2 linked regions of the Cricetulus griseus genome follow. The protein of the gene in region 1 interacts with the protein of each later gene in a biochemical or structural test. Links are inferred from orthologs where the notes say so. Each region holds a gene or a part of one and is shown on either strand. Other genes may lie near its edges.

Region 1 (5,270 bases):
TTCCTGCATCCTACCCTGCTGGCCACTCATAGCAACAGGAAAAACTACAGCCTGTCCACTAACTAGAACTTGGTTCCACAATGGCCTTGGGCCCTGTGTTGTTTCTTCTATGTTCATTGCATGTTCAAGGCAATGCTCACATAGAAATCAGGTTAGGACAGTCTGGAATGCCGGTACTTCCCTTCCGCCTTGTTTGAGAGTTTCTTGTTAGTGCTGTATTAACCAGACTATCTGACCTGTGAGCTTCCAGGGAATTCTATCTCCACCACCCATTTGGTATTAAGAGACACTATAGAAGCTCACTGACACATAGCTTTTACTCGAGTTCTGGGGATTCAAACTCAGGTCCTTACACTTATGCCCTAAAAGCTTTATCACAGAGCCACCTCCCTGGCCCATGCCCACTACCAGCAGCAGCTGTGCTCCAGATTCCTCCATCTCCGGTACCACCGACTGCACAGGCCGCGGCCCTCTGGGGGAAAAGGCTCCTCGGGGAAGAGATACCTCTCGAGGCCAGTCATCTTCTGGGGGCAATCCAATGAGACTGTAGGGATAACACAAATCTGGTCAGGGGGGCTTTTTCCAGTTTCCATCTCCAGGGCCAACTGCCATTTGGAATTGAGCAGAAACTGAATTAAGAATGGGGAATTTTAGCCGGGCGGTGGTGACTCATGCCTTTAATCCCAGCACTTGGGAGGCAGAGGCAGGCGGATCTCTGTGAGTTTGAGATCTTGTAGACCAGCCTGGTCTACAAGAGCTAGTTCCAGGACAGCCTCCAAAGCCACAGAGAAACCCTGCCTCGAAAAAAACAAACAAAAAGGGGGGGGGGGATTTCTTTCCCCTTTATTGGACACTTACTCAAAGATTTTGCCCAACTGGTCAGCTTCAGAGTTTCCACAGAAGAGAGGCCTAAGGTAGAAAAATATTCCAAGTATATATTATTTCAGAAATAAGGGAATGATAATCAAAGTGGCTGAGATTAGAGAGGACGGAGAATAAGGGAACACAAAGTTCCTAATTCCTAGACATTTCAGGAAATTTGCCTGCATCGTTTCTGGTTTTAGGCAAGTTGGTGAACATAAACAGGATAGGTTGGGACTATAGCTGGGTGGCAGGGCACGCGCCTGATAAATACAAGAGCCTAGGTTGGGGCGTCCAGTGCCATATGCACAAAAATGGTCAAGAACGGGTATGTCTTGTAAAAAGACCCAGGGGCGGGGAGTGTAGTTTAGTGGTATAGAGCATTTGCCCAGTGTATGTGCAGTTCTGATTTCAACCTCTAACACCATAAGTAACATCAAAAGATTTGTGTAACTGAAGGGACCTAAGAGTTCCACACCCTGAGCCAGGTGGTGGCGGCAGGCGGATCTCCGAGGGAGTCACAGGACAGCCAGGGCTACCCTGTCTTAAAAAACAAAAGTTTCAAGCCCCGTACTTTCGACGAAACATCTCTGCAAAGATACAGCCAACGCTCCACATGTCCACGGGTGTTGCGTATGTAGACTGCAGAAGAACTTCAGGAGCACGGTACCAGAGTGTAACAACCTAAACAGAAGAGGAGAAACGAGTGAGAGTCCTTTTCATGGCTCATAGCTGCTGGGCTTTGAGAACGTCAAGCACAACACACCTCAGCTGCTACGGGAAATCAAGTACTACCTAAAGCCGAATCCCATTGGGGCTGCCATCTTTCCACTCACCACAGGTGTGAGGGCCATCTGGTAGCTGTAGATTCTGGCCAGGCCAAAGTCAGCCAGCTTGACTGTCCCATTACTAGTCACCAGAATGTTCTCCGGTTTCAGGTCTCGGTGAACAATGCAATTTGCATGAAGAAAATCCAGGCCGCTTAGAAACTGTCGCATCAGGTCCTGGTTTTGAAGGAGAAAGCCCCGGACACCATGTAACACGCTCAAAAACCCCAAGAGTCCCTACTACAAAGACCCGGATCCACCTCTCACCGAGCAGCCCGCTCACCTTGATGGTCTCAACTGGCAAGCCTGGTGGGGGTGCTTTATCCAGGTATGTCCTCAGATCCTGATCTATATGCTCAAACACGAGAGTGACCTTGATGTCTCGATCAGTTCGGGAGGTAGCACAGACATCCATTAGCCTGACAAAAATAAACAGTCGCCAGCCGGTCAATGTCCTTTGTTCCAACGTGGCCTCTGGAGTCCTAGGGTCCCACTCCCGACGACCACACCCCTGGCTTACAGATCCCATTCTTTCCTCCCCACTCCCAATCCAACCTCCTCACCGTACAACATTGGGGTGCTCGAAGGCCTCCAACCGCCTCAGTAAGGCCACCTCGCGTACAGTGCTGATGGGAAGGCCCCCTCCAGCTCCCCCTCCGTTGGGAACTCGCACACTCTTGAGGGCCACAAAGTGGCCACTGTGGGGATCTCGGGCCTTGTATACCGTCCCATAGGCACCAACACCGATTTCAGCCACCGGTTCATAGCGGGAGGTAGCCATTCTCGGAGCAGGGAGATCTCCTACAATCACAGAGGCTTCTAAAACCAAGCCCTCCTTTCCTTCACAGCTAGGAGGGGGGATGACCCAGCAGTAACAAAGGAATTCCTGCCCACGACCGCACCGACACAGCCGCCCATCCCCTCCCTCCACGCTGCCAGAGTGCCGCGCCTCAGGTAACACAAAAGACTCTCCCACCGAGCCCTCCAGCCACGTGATGTCCCGGAGGGGCGAAAAAGAATGCATTCCTCCCGGGGAGGAGGAGGGGGGAGAACGGGACATCGCACCGGGCACAAAGAAGACCATCACAATGCACGGCGTTGGCATCGAAGGTTGCACACTTTATTCCCTAAAATCACACGCTGGCCGCGACCACAAAGGCCCCGCTTCCCGCCCTTGGGCCATCCTTCCACAACGAGGGGATCCATAGGGTGGTGGCGGGGCGCCGGGCCCCATCCCTGCAAGCGGCTGCACTCACCTCTCGCCCGGCCAAGAGCTGCGGAGGTGGCCCTTTATCTGGGCCCGGGAGCCGGTTCCTGCGGCGCCATACACCGGGGATCGGTCCCGGGCAGCTGGACGCTACGGGCCAGACCATAGACACGGGCCGCGAGCTAGAGAGGCCCCCCTCACCCCCACCCTCCCCATGTGACCAGCAGCCAGGGAGGCGCGCGGAAACCGGGGGGGGGGGGCGAACGCCGGACGTTCGCGGCGGACACGTGGTCTCCATCCATCCATCCATCCATCCATGCATGCGCAGTGGATGACCTGGGATGGGGGGGGCGAAACTCGCTCGGGCACGTGACCTGTTGCTATCCCACGTGACCCCTCAGCTCTGCGCTGGGAAGCAGAGGCGTGGCTACGCCGCCTACCACGTGACCCGCCGCCAGTCCCTGACTGCCGAGGGGGTGTGTGGGGGCGAGGGAGGGTGGAGCACCAGGCGGTGCCATGGCAACCGGGCCAGCCGGCTCTCAACTCTGGGCTCAAGGCCGAGCCTGTGCGCATCTCTCCGTCTCACTCCTTGTCTGGACGTGGGCGGGGAGGTCCGGGTGCTAGTGGGAGATCCTGGTACCAGAGATGGGACTGTCACATTTTTCACTCCAGCGCCATGGGGAAGGAGCATTCGTATACTGTGCCTTCGTTTTACTCATTCATTCAACAAAAATTTTACTAAGGGCTCCTTTCCAGTTGGTATGTGATGTTTTTGTTTTGGTGTCTCAGCCATTCGCCCTCTGAAGTAATGATGAGGGTATCTAATGTAGGCAAGTGTGGCCCCTTATGAAACAGGGAGTACGATTCCTATCCAAGAAGGAAACTAGGGCTAAAAGATGGACAGCAGGATTAATATACTCAGTCACTGTATGGGAAGAGTGGCAACGTAATGCCCTCCCCTCTTCCAACTTGCAAACCTCCCTGGGAATATTAAAAGCAGCAAGGAGTTATTGGAAACTCTGTTGTTTTGTTTTTTTTCGAGACAGGGTTTCTCTCTGTAGACCAGGCTGACCTCGAACTTACACAGATCTGCCTGCCTCTGTCTCCCAAGTGCTGGGATTCTGAGATTAAAGGCGTGCACCACTACGGCCCAACAGGGTGCCTGATCTTAAAAGGCTCTTAACACTAAGATTCTGTATTGTGTTACATATGTATGTAATTGTGCATATGAACAGACAAAACGGTGAGCGTGTACAAGGGCGGTCACCAACACCACTTCAGACCACCATGTTGCCCGAGAACGTCTTGTGTCCCTCTGCAAACATGCAACTCATCATTGGTGTCACATTCCTTTTTATTTCTAATGCAGCTTTCTTAGAGCTACTCTTGCCCTTATGGGCATTTCCCAAGTGGTCTGTGCCCACAGAAATCTAGGTAGACAGGTAGATTTGGCATTCGTTGTGTTGTGGGCTCCAACTCCTTTGTTGTCTCCCACCATTTGGGGAATAAAAGACCATGTACCCATCTGTGAGAAACTCTAAAATCTAGAGCTGTTTTAAAATTGTTTTTTAGCCAGGTGGCAATGGCTCACACCTTTAATCCCAGCACGGGATAGGCAGAAGCAGGCATCATGATCTCTGTGACTTTGAGGCCTGCTTTGTCTACAGAGCTAGTTCCAGGATAACCAAGGCTACCCAGAGAAATCCTGTCTCAAAATAAAGTAAGATTGGTGGGGCTCAGTGGTTAATACTGCCTTGGCTTCCAAAGATCCTGAGTTCAATTCCCAGCAACCACATGGTGGCTCACAAGTATCTGTAATGAAATCTGGTGCCCTCTTCTGGCCTGCAGACATACTCACAGGCAAAACACTATGTACATGATAAGTCTTTTAAAAAAATAAAATTGGTTTTTGAAGCCAGGGATTGGAGTCAGTGTTTTCTTCGTTCAATTCCTGTGCTATGTTCCCAAACACTAAACTCTGAAATCATATTTGAGACAGTATAGTTGAAGGGCCTTAGCTTTCTAAATGCTGTTTCTACAGACATGAACAACTACTCTGGCTCTGGCTCTGTGTGTGTAATTTTGTTTTGATGAGATAAGGTCTCATATAGCTCAGGTTGGCTTTGAAATAGACATGTAAGTGGCTGGAGAGATGGCTCAGTGGTTAAGAGCACTGGCTGTTCTTCTAGAGGACCCGGGTTCTGTTCCCAGCACCCACATGGCAGCTCATACCTGTCTGTAACTCCAGTTCCAGGGGATCTGGCATCCTTACACCAATGCACATAAAATAAAAAGTTTAAAAAAATAGACATGTAGCTAGGGTAGCTTCAAATGTTTGAATGCTTGATCTTACTGCTCCATCTCCCCAGTACTAA
Region 2 (5,321 bases), on another chromosome or scaffold:
GAGGAGAACTTGAGGAAGTCAGTTCTCTCCTTCCTCCATGTGGGTTCTGGAGATCAAACTTAGGAAGTAGTGTTTGGCTGCAAGCACCTTTGCCCACTGGGCCACCTTGCCAGCCCTAGATTGTTTTTTGTTTTTGTTTTTTGTTTGGTTTGGTTTTTTTGAGATAAGAGTCTACTCCCAGAATCATTTTAAACAGTGCATCCTTCTGCCTCAGCTTCCTAGGTAGTAGGATTACAGTAGTCAAGCTGGCTAAGTTTCTTTTTGGCCTTTGTCCTCTCCCCTGACCAAGAATAAGAAAAAACATGTCAACTATGGAGAGTTGTTATGCTTGTACACAGCCTATCCATAATAGATACTCAACTGATGTAAGTTAAAAAACAAAACAGCTCCCATGAGCTGTTTAGTGTGTGACCTGTGAGCCACTTGAGCTATTAGCAGGCTCTAGGCTGCTTTGCTTGACACTTCAGAGTTATAACGCACAAGCTGACATTGAACTCCTGATTCTCTTGGCCTCTGTATTCTTCATGTTGGATGATAATGGTGTGCCACCATGCCCAGCAATTTCTGAGACTCCTTTTGTCCAGGCCATAAAAATGAATCTTTCATGTATATGTGTTTTGACTGAATGAATGTCTGTGCATCATATGTGTGCCTGGGGCCTAGGCACCAAAGAGGATCCCAGACCCCCTGGAACTAGAGTGAAGGACAGCTGTGAGCTGCTACGTGAGTGCTAGGAACTGAACCTGGTCCTCTTTGAGAGCAAGTGCTTCTAATAATTTATTTATTTTTATTTTATGTGCATTGTTGCATTGCTTCCATGTACGTCTGTGCGAGGGTGTCAGATCCCCTGCAGCTGGAGGAACAGACAGTTGTGAGCTGGATGCTGGAAATTGAACCCAGTCTCCAGGAAGAGCAGCCAGTGCTCTTAACCTCTGAGCCGTCTCTCCAGCCCTGAGCAAGTGCTTTTAACCAATAAGCACCTAAACATTCTACTCTACTCTTAGTAAATCATCAGGCTTTTTTTTTTTTTTTCTTCAGTGCTGTAATCAAACACAGGTGTTTAACATGACGGAATGCTAGGCAAGCACTCTTTCGCTGAACTGCATCTCCCCTGGCATCTTTAAGACTAGTTAAAGGCCAGCTGTGGAGCTTAGGGCTTTAATCCCAGCACTCTGAGGCAGAGGCAAGTGAATCTCTGTGAGCTCGAGGCCAGCCTGGTGTACAGAGGGAGTTCCAGGACAGCCAGGGCTACTCAGAGAAACCCTGTCTCAAAAAAATAAAATAAAAAAAAAAATCCCCTAATTCCAGTTACTTGAGGGGCTGAGGAAAGATGATTGCTTTGTATTCCAGGCTAAGTTGAGCAACTTGGTGAAACTGTCTCAGAAAAATACAAAACAAACAAACAAAAAATTTCGCCCTTTCTTCTTTTGAGACAGGATCTCACTCTGAAGCCCAGGCTGGCCTGGAACTCAGTCTGGCTTCAAACTCCCAGCAATGCCCCTGCTTCAGTCTTCCCACGCTGGGATTATGGTTTGTGAACAACCACACTCCGAAAGGAAACAGATTTTGAGGGCTTTAGCCTGTTGTCCAAAGTCACGCCGCTACTCCGGAGGCACTGATGTCCAGGATGTGACCCTCATGCCATTATTCCATGTCCACCTTACTCCCGTCTTTAATTAGAGCGGAGCCCGGCTGGAGACAACACTCTTAACACGGTAGCTCTCAAGAGGAAGGTCGATTTAATAAACCGCGTCCCTCTCCCAGAACTCATCCCTCTCTCCAAGCTCACAAAGTGATCCGCCTGAGCCTTAAAAAACCTCCGAAGCCCCTACCTGTCACCCCGCCCAGTAAGGAGAAATCGCTACTAGTTTCAGGGCTCCGGGAGAGCTCCCGGGCATGCGCTTTAAGGACCGCCTCCCCTCCCTTGGGGACGGCCCCCCCGCAGGCTCCGCCCACCCCCACCAATGAGAGCCGAGCCCTGGGCGGGAGGGCGGGGCCGCCACGCGAGTGGGCGGGAACTAAGGATTGTGGAGTGGCCGGAGTCGTGCGCCGGAGTCAGAGCAGCGTCTCCCGTCCCGGGCGCCGGCGGTTGCGGGAGCCGGGCGAGCCGAGCGATGCGCCTGCTGCCGCTTCCTGATTGGCTGCGTGTGGCTCCCTCTTCGTTCTGATTGGCCGCGAGTGATCTGGGTATGTAAATGAGGGGGCCCGGTGGTGGTGGGGGGGTGGGAGGAGAGAGGCGGGGGAGGGTGGGAGTACCGACGGCCCGAGGTGTTTTTAGCGTGTTCGATCCCCCGGTTGGGGAGATGTTCGCCGGGGTTGTCCGGGATCCGGGCGGGCGCCCGGGGCCTGAACGTGACGCCCGTCCGGGCCGGACTGAGTGAATCACGCCGGAGCCGGAGAAGGGGGCGGAGGCGCAGGCTCCCTGGCTCCGGCTGCGTGACTCACCCGCCCCGCCGCCGCCGCGCCGCCGCTGCCGCCGCTGCTGCGCTGCCGCCTTCCGGAAGCCAGGGAAGGCTCTGGGCGGCCCGCGGGGGTCGCGGCTCGCCGGGGCCCCGGGTCTGAGGGGCCGGAGTCCCCGGGGAAGCCCTGGCCGGGCTGCCGCTAGGGGGCGCCTGCGCCCGGGGGCGGAGTCGAGGCGGGGGCTGAATTCCTGCGGTTGCCTGCCGAGGGTCTGCGCGCAAAGGGCGAGCGGGAAGGGCGAGCCAAGACTCCGGGGTCTTGTTGGGGCTGTCTAGGCAGCGTCCCCAGGGCTGAGCCTCCCCCCCTTCCCCCCCGATCCTTTGTGTCCCCCCCCCCGCCCCCCGAGATGCCACTCCGGGGTCCCAGACTCCGGTCTCCTCGCCGCATGGAAGGAAGTGTGGATTTCTCCAAACTTGGGTACTCAGTGGCCGAGCCCCGCGGCCCCCCGGCTCTCCCCGCTAACTCCAGGGGCCGCCGCTTCCTTGTGCTTAGCAGCTCGGGCTCCCCCAAACTCCAGCCGTCAGTGCCCCGGCCGCCCCCACCCCGCTCACCCTCTCTCTCCCCGATGCTGCCCCACCGGCAGCCCGCCCGCCCGCCCCCGGCGTCAGCGAAACGTCGCCTTCGGCCCCCTGCTCGACCCTCCTGCCTCCCCGGAGGACTCTGTCCTGTCACTCTGAAAATCCAAGCCGCCTCCCCCCCCCCCGCCTGCTCCCCACCCCCACCGGGACTCCTACCGTGTCACTCTGTGCGCTTGCTCCTTGTGTGGGTTTTCTTTTTTCTTTTTTCTTTTTTTTCCCTTCCCCGGTTAAGATTTGCCTCTCTCGGTCTTCCATTGGCTCTTCCGGGAATGCCCGGCCCCTGGTTCTCCATAGCTGTCGTCTACACTGCCTACATCAGATCCGAAGTATCTCCTTTACAGAAACTGCCCAAAGTACCTCCTATCGCTATCTGTGCATTCCCTCTATTGGATTAAATAATGTTTGATGCCAAGCAGACATTCTATGCCTTGAACTGTACAAGTAGGCTGCATTTCCAGCCAAGAGGCGGCACCTACCTGTAATCCTAACCCTTGGGAGGCTGGGGCAGAAGGACTGCCTGGGATAGCCAGCCAGCCTGGACTAACTACAGTGTGAGGCCCTGTCACAAAACCTGGAGCAAAACCATCCAGGCACTGCCACACATCTTTAATCCCAGCACTCAGGAGGCAGAGGCAGGCAGATCTCTAGAGTTTTGAGGCCAGCCTGATCTATAGAGTGAGTTCCAGGACCGGCTCCAAAGCTACAGAGAAGCCCTGTCTCGAAAAACCAAAATAAATAAATAAATAAATAATAAAAAAGAGCAAAACCAAAAAGTACTTACAAATAAATACTAGTTATGGTTGTTAAGAGCTTGCTATTGCTAGTTCCAGGACAGCCTCCAAAGCCACAGAGAAACCCTGTCTCAAAACTGCACCCCACCCCCCCAAAAAAAGAGCTTGCTATTGCTACAGAGGACGCAAGAGATTCCCAGCACCCAAATGGAATGGCTTATAATTGCTGTAACTCCAGCTCCAGGGACTCCAACAGGTGGCTTCCTTGGGCATCTACACTCTCGTGCATATACACACACACACACCACAAAATTTAAAATAAAAGTAAAATTAGCCAGGCATTTGTAGCTCATGCCTTTAATCCCAGCACTCGGGAGGCAGAGGCAGGCGGATCTCTGAGTTCAAGGCCAGCCTGGTCTACAGAGTGAGTTCCAGGACAGGCTCCAAAGCAATACAGAGAAACCTTGTCTTGAAAAACCAGAAAATAAAAATAAAATAAAAGTAAAATTTGAAAGTTCTAAAGACCATGATGCAAGGGCTTTTTATTCTTTTGTTAATCTAATCCATATAGCAACTTACAATGTAGATGTTAGCTGTTTCTTAGAACTTTACTGAGCAGGCTCAGTTGGTGGAATGTTTGCTTTACATGCAGGAAGCCCTGAGTTCCATCCCCAGCATCCAGTATACCAAGCGTGGTGGCATACACCTGTAGTCCCAGCACGGGGGCTGTGGGTAAGAGATGATCATAAACTCGAGGCCAGCCTGAGTTGTGTGATCCTGTCTCATTAAAAATGAGGAAGAATTTGCTTAGAAAACCTGGACTGGGAGGTTAGTTGCCTTGTGAAGCTCACGCTGACAGCAGTTGTCAGAGCTGGGTGTGACCTGAATATTGACTTTCCCTAACTGAATGGCTCCTTCCTCCCTGCAGACAATGCTGAGCAAGGGTCTAAAGCGAAAACGGGAGGAGGAGGAGAAGAAGGAGGAGGAAGGCCTCTCGGTGGACTCCTGGTGGTTAGATCAAGGCCACCCAGCAGCCGCACAGACCCCCCCGCCCGTGGCTTCCAGTTCTCTCTTTGACCTCTCGGTGCTCAAGCTCCATCACAGCCTGCGGCAGGGTGAGCCAGACCTCCGCCACCTGGTGCTGGTGGTGAACACGCTGCGCCGTATCCAGGAGTCCATGGAACCTACAACCTCCCTGCCACCCGTGTCCATGCCACCCACAGCCCCCTCTGTGGCAGACAGCCTCCTGGCTAGCTCGGACGCTGCCCTCTCAGCCTCCATGGCCAGCCTCCTGGAAGATCTCAACCACATTGAAGACCTGAACCAGGTCCCCCAACCCCAAGCCGATGAGGGGCCTCCAGGCCGCTCAGTTGGTGGTGTCCCGCCCAACCTGGGTGCCTTGGACCTGCTAGGCCCAGCCACCGGCTGTCTGCTGGACGATGGACTGGAGGGCTTGTTTGAGGACATTGATACTTCCATGTATGACAGTGAACTTTGGGTACCAGCCTCTGAGGGTCTCAAACCTGGCCCTGAGAATGGTCCAGCCAAGGAG

The links.
Region 2: the proteins of Cdk4 (region 1) and Sertad1 form a complex in vitro, tested with the Homo sapiens proteins (2 studies listed by BioGRID). The link is inferred for Cricetulus griseus from reciprocal best matches to the Homo sapiens genes CDK4 and SERTAD1.

Annotation. Positions count from the first base shown.
Region 1 is NW_023276806.1:130,640,906-130,646,175, forward strand, and holds the start of Cdk4 (cyclin-dependent kinase 4), read right to left. Parts: upstream 3,103-5,270; 5' UTR 2,945-3,102; intron 2,490-2,944; 5' UTR 2,470-2,489; coding exon 2,252-2,469; intron 2,108-2,251; coding exon 1,972-2,107; intron 1,866-1,971; coding exon 1,698-1,865; intron 1,546-1,697; coding exon 1,436-1,545; intron 910-1,435; coding exon 859-909; intron 545-858; coding exon 409-544; intron 1-408.
Region 2 is NC_048602.1:8,435,643-8,440,963, reverse strand, and holds the start of Sertad1 (SERTA domain-containing protein 1), read left to right. Parts: upstream 1-2,053; 5' UTR 2,054-2,187; intron 2,188-2,782; exon of another isoform or gene 2,783-2,877; intron 2,878-4,211; exon of another isoform or gene 4,212-4,597; intron 4,598-4,697; 5' UTR 4,698-4,700; coding exon 4,701-5,321. UniProt on the Homo sapiens protein: Acts at E2F-responsive promoters as coregulator to integrate signals provided by PHD- and/or bromodomain-containing transcription factors. Stimulates E2F1/TFDP1 transcriptional activity.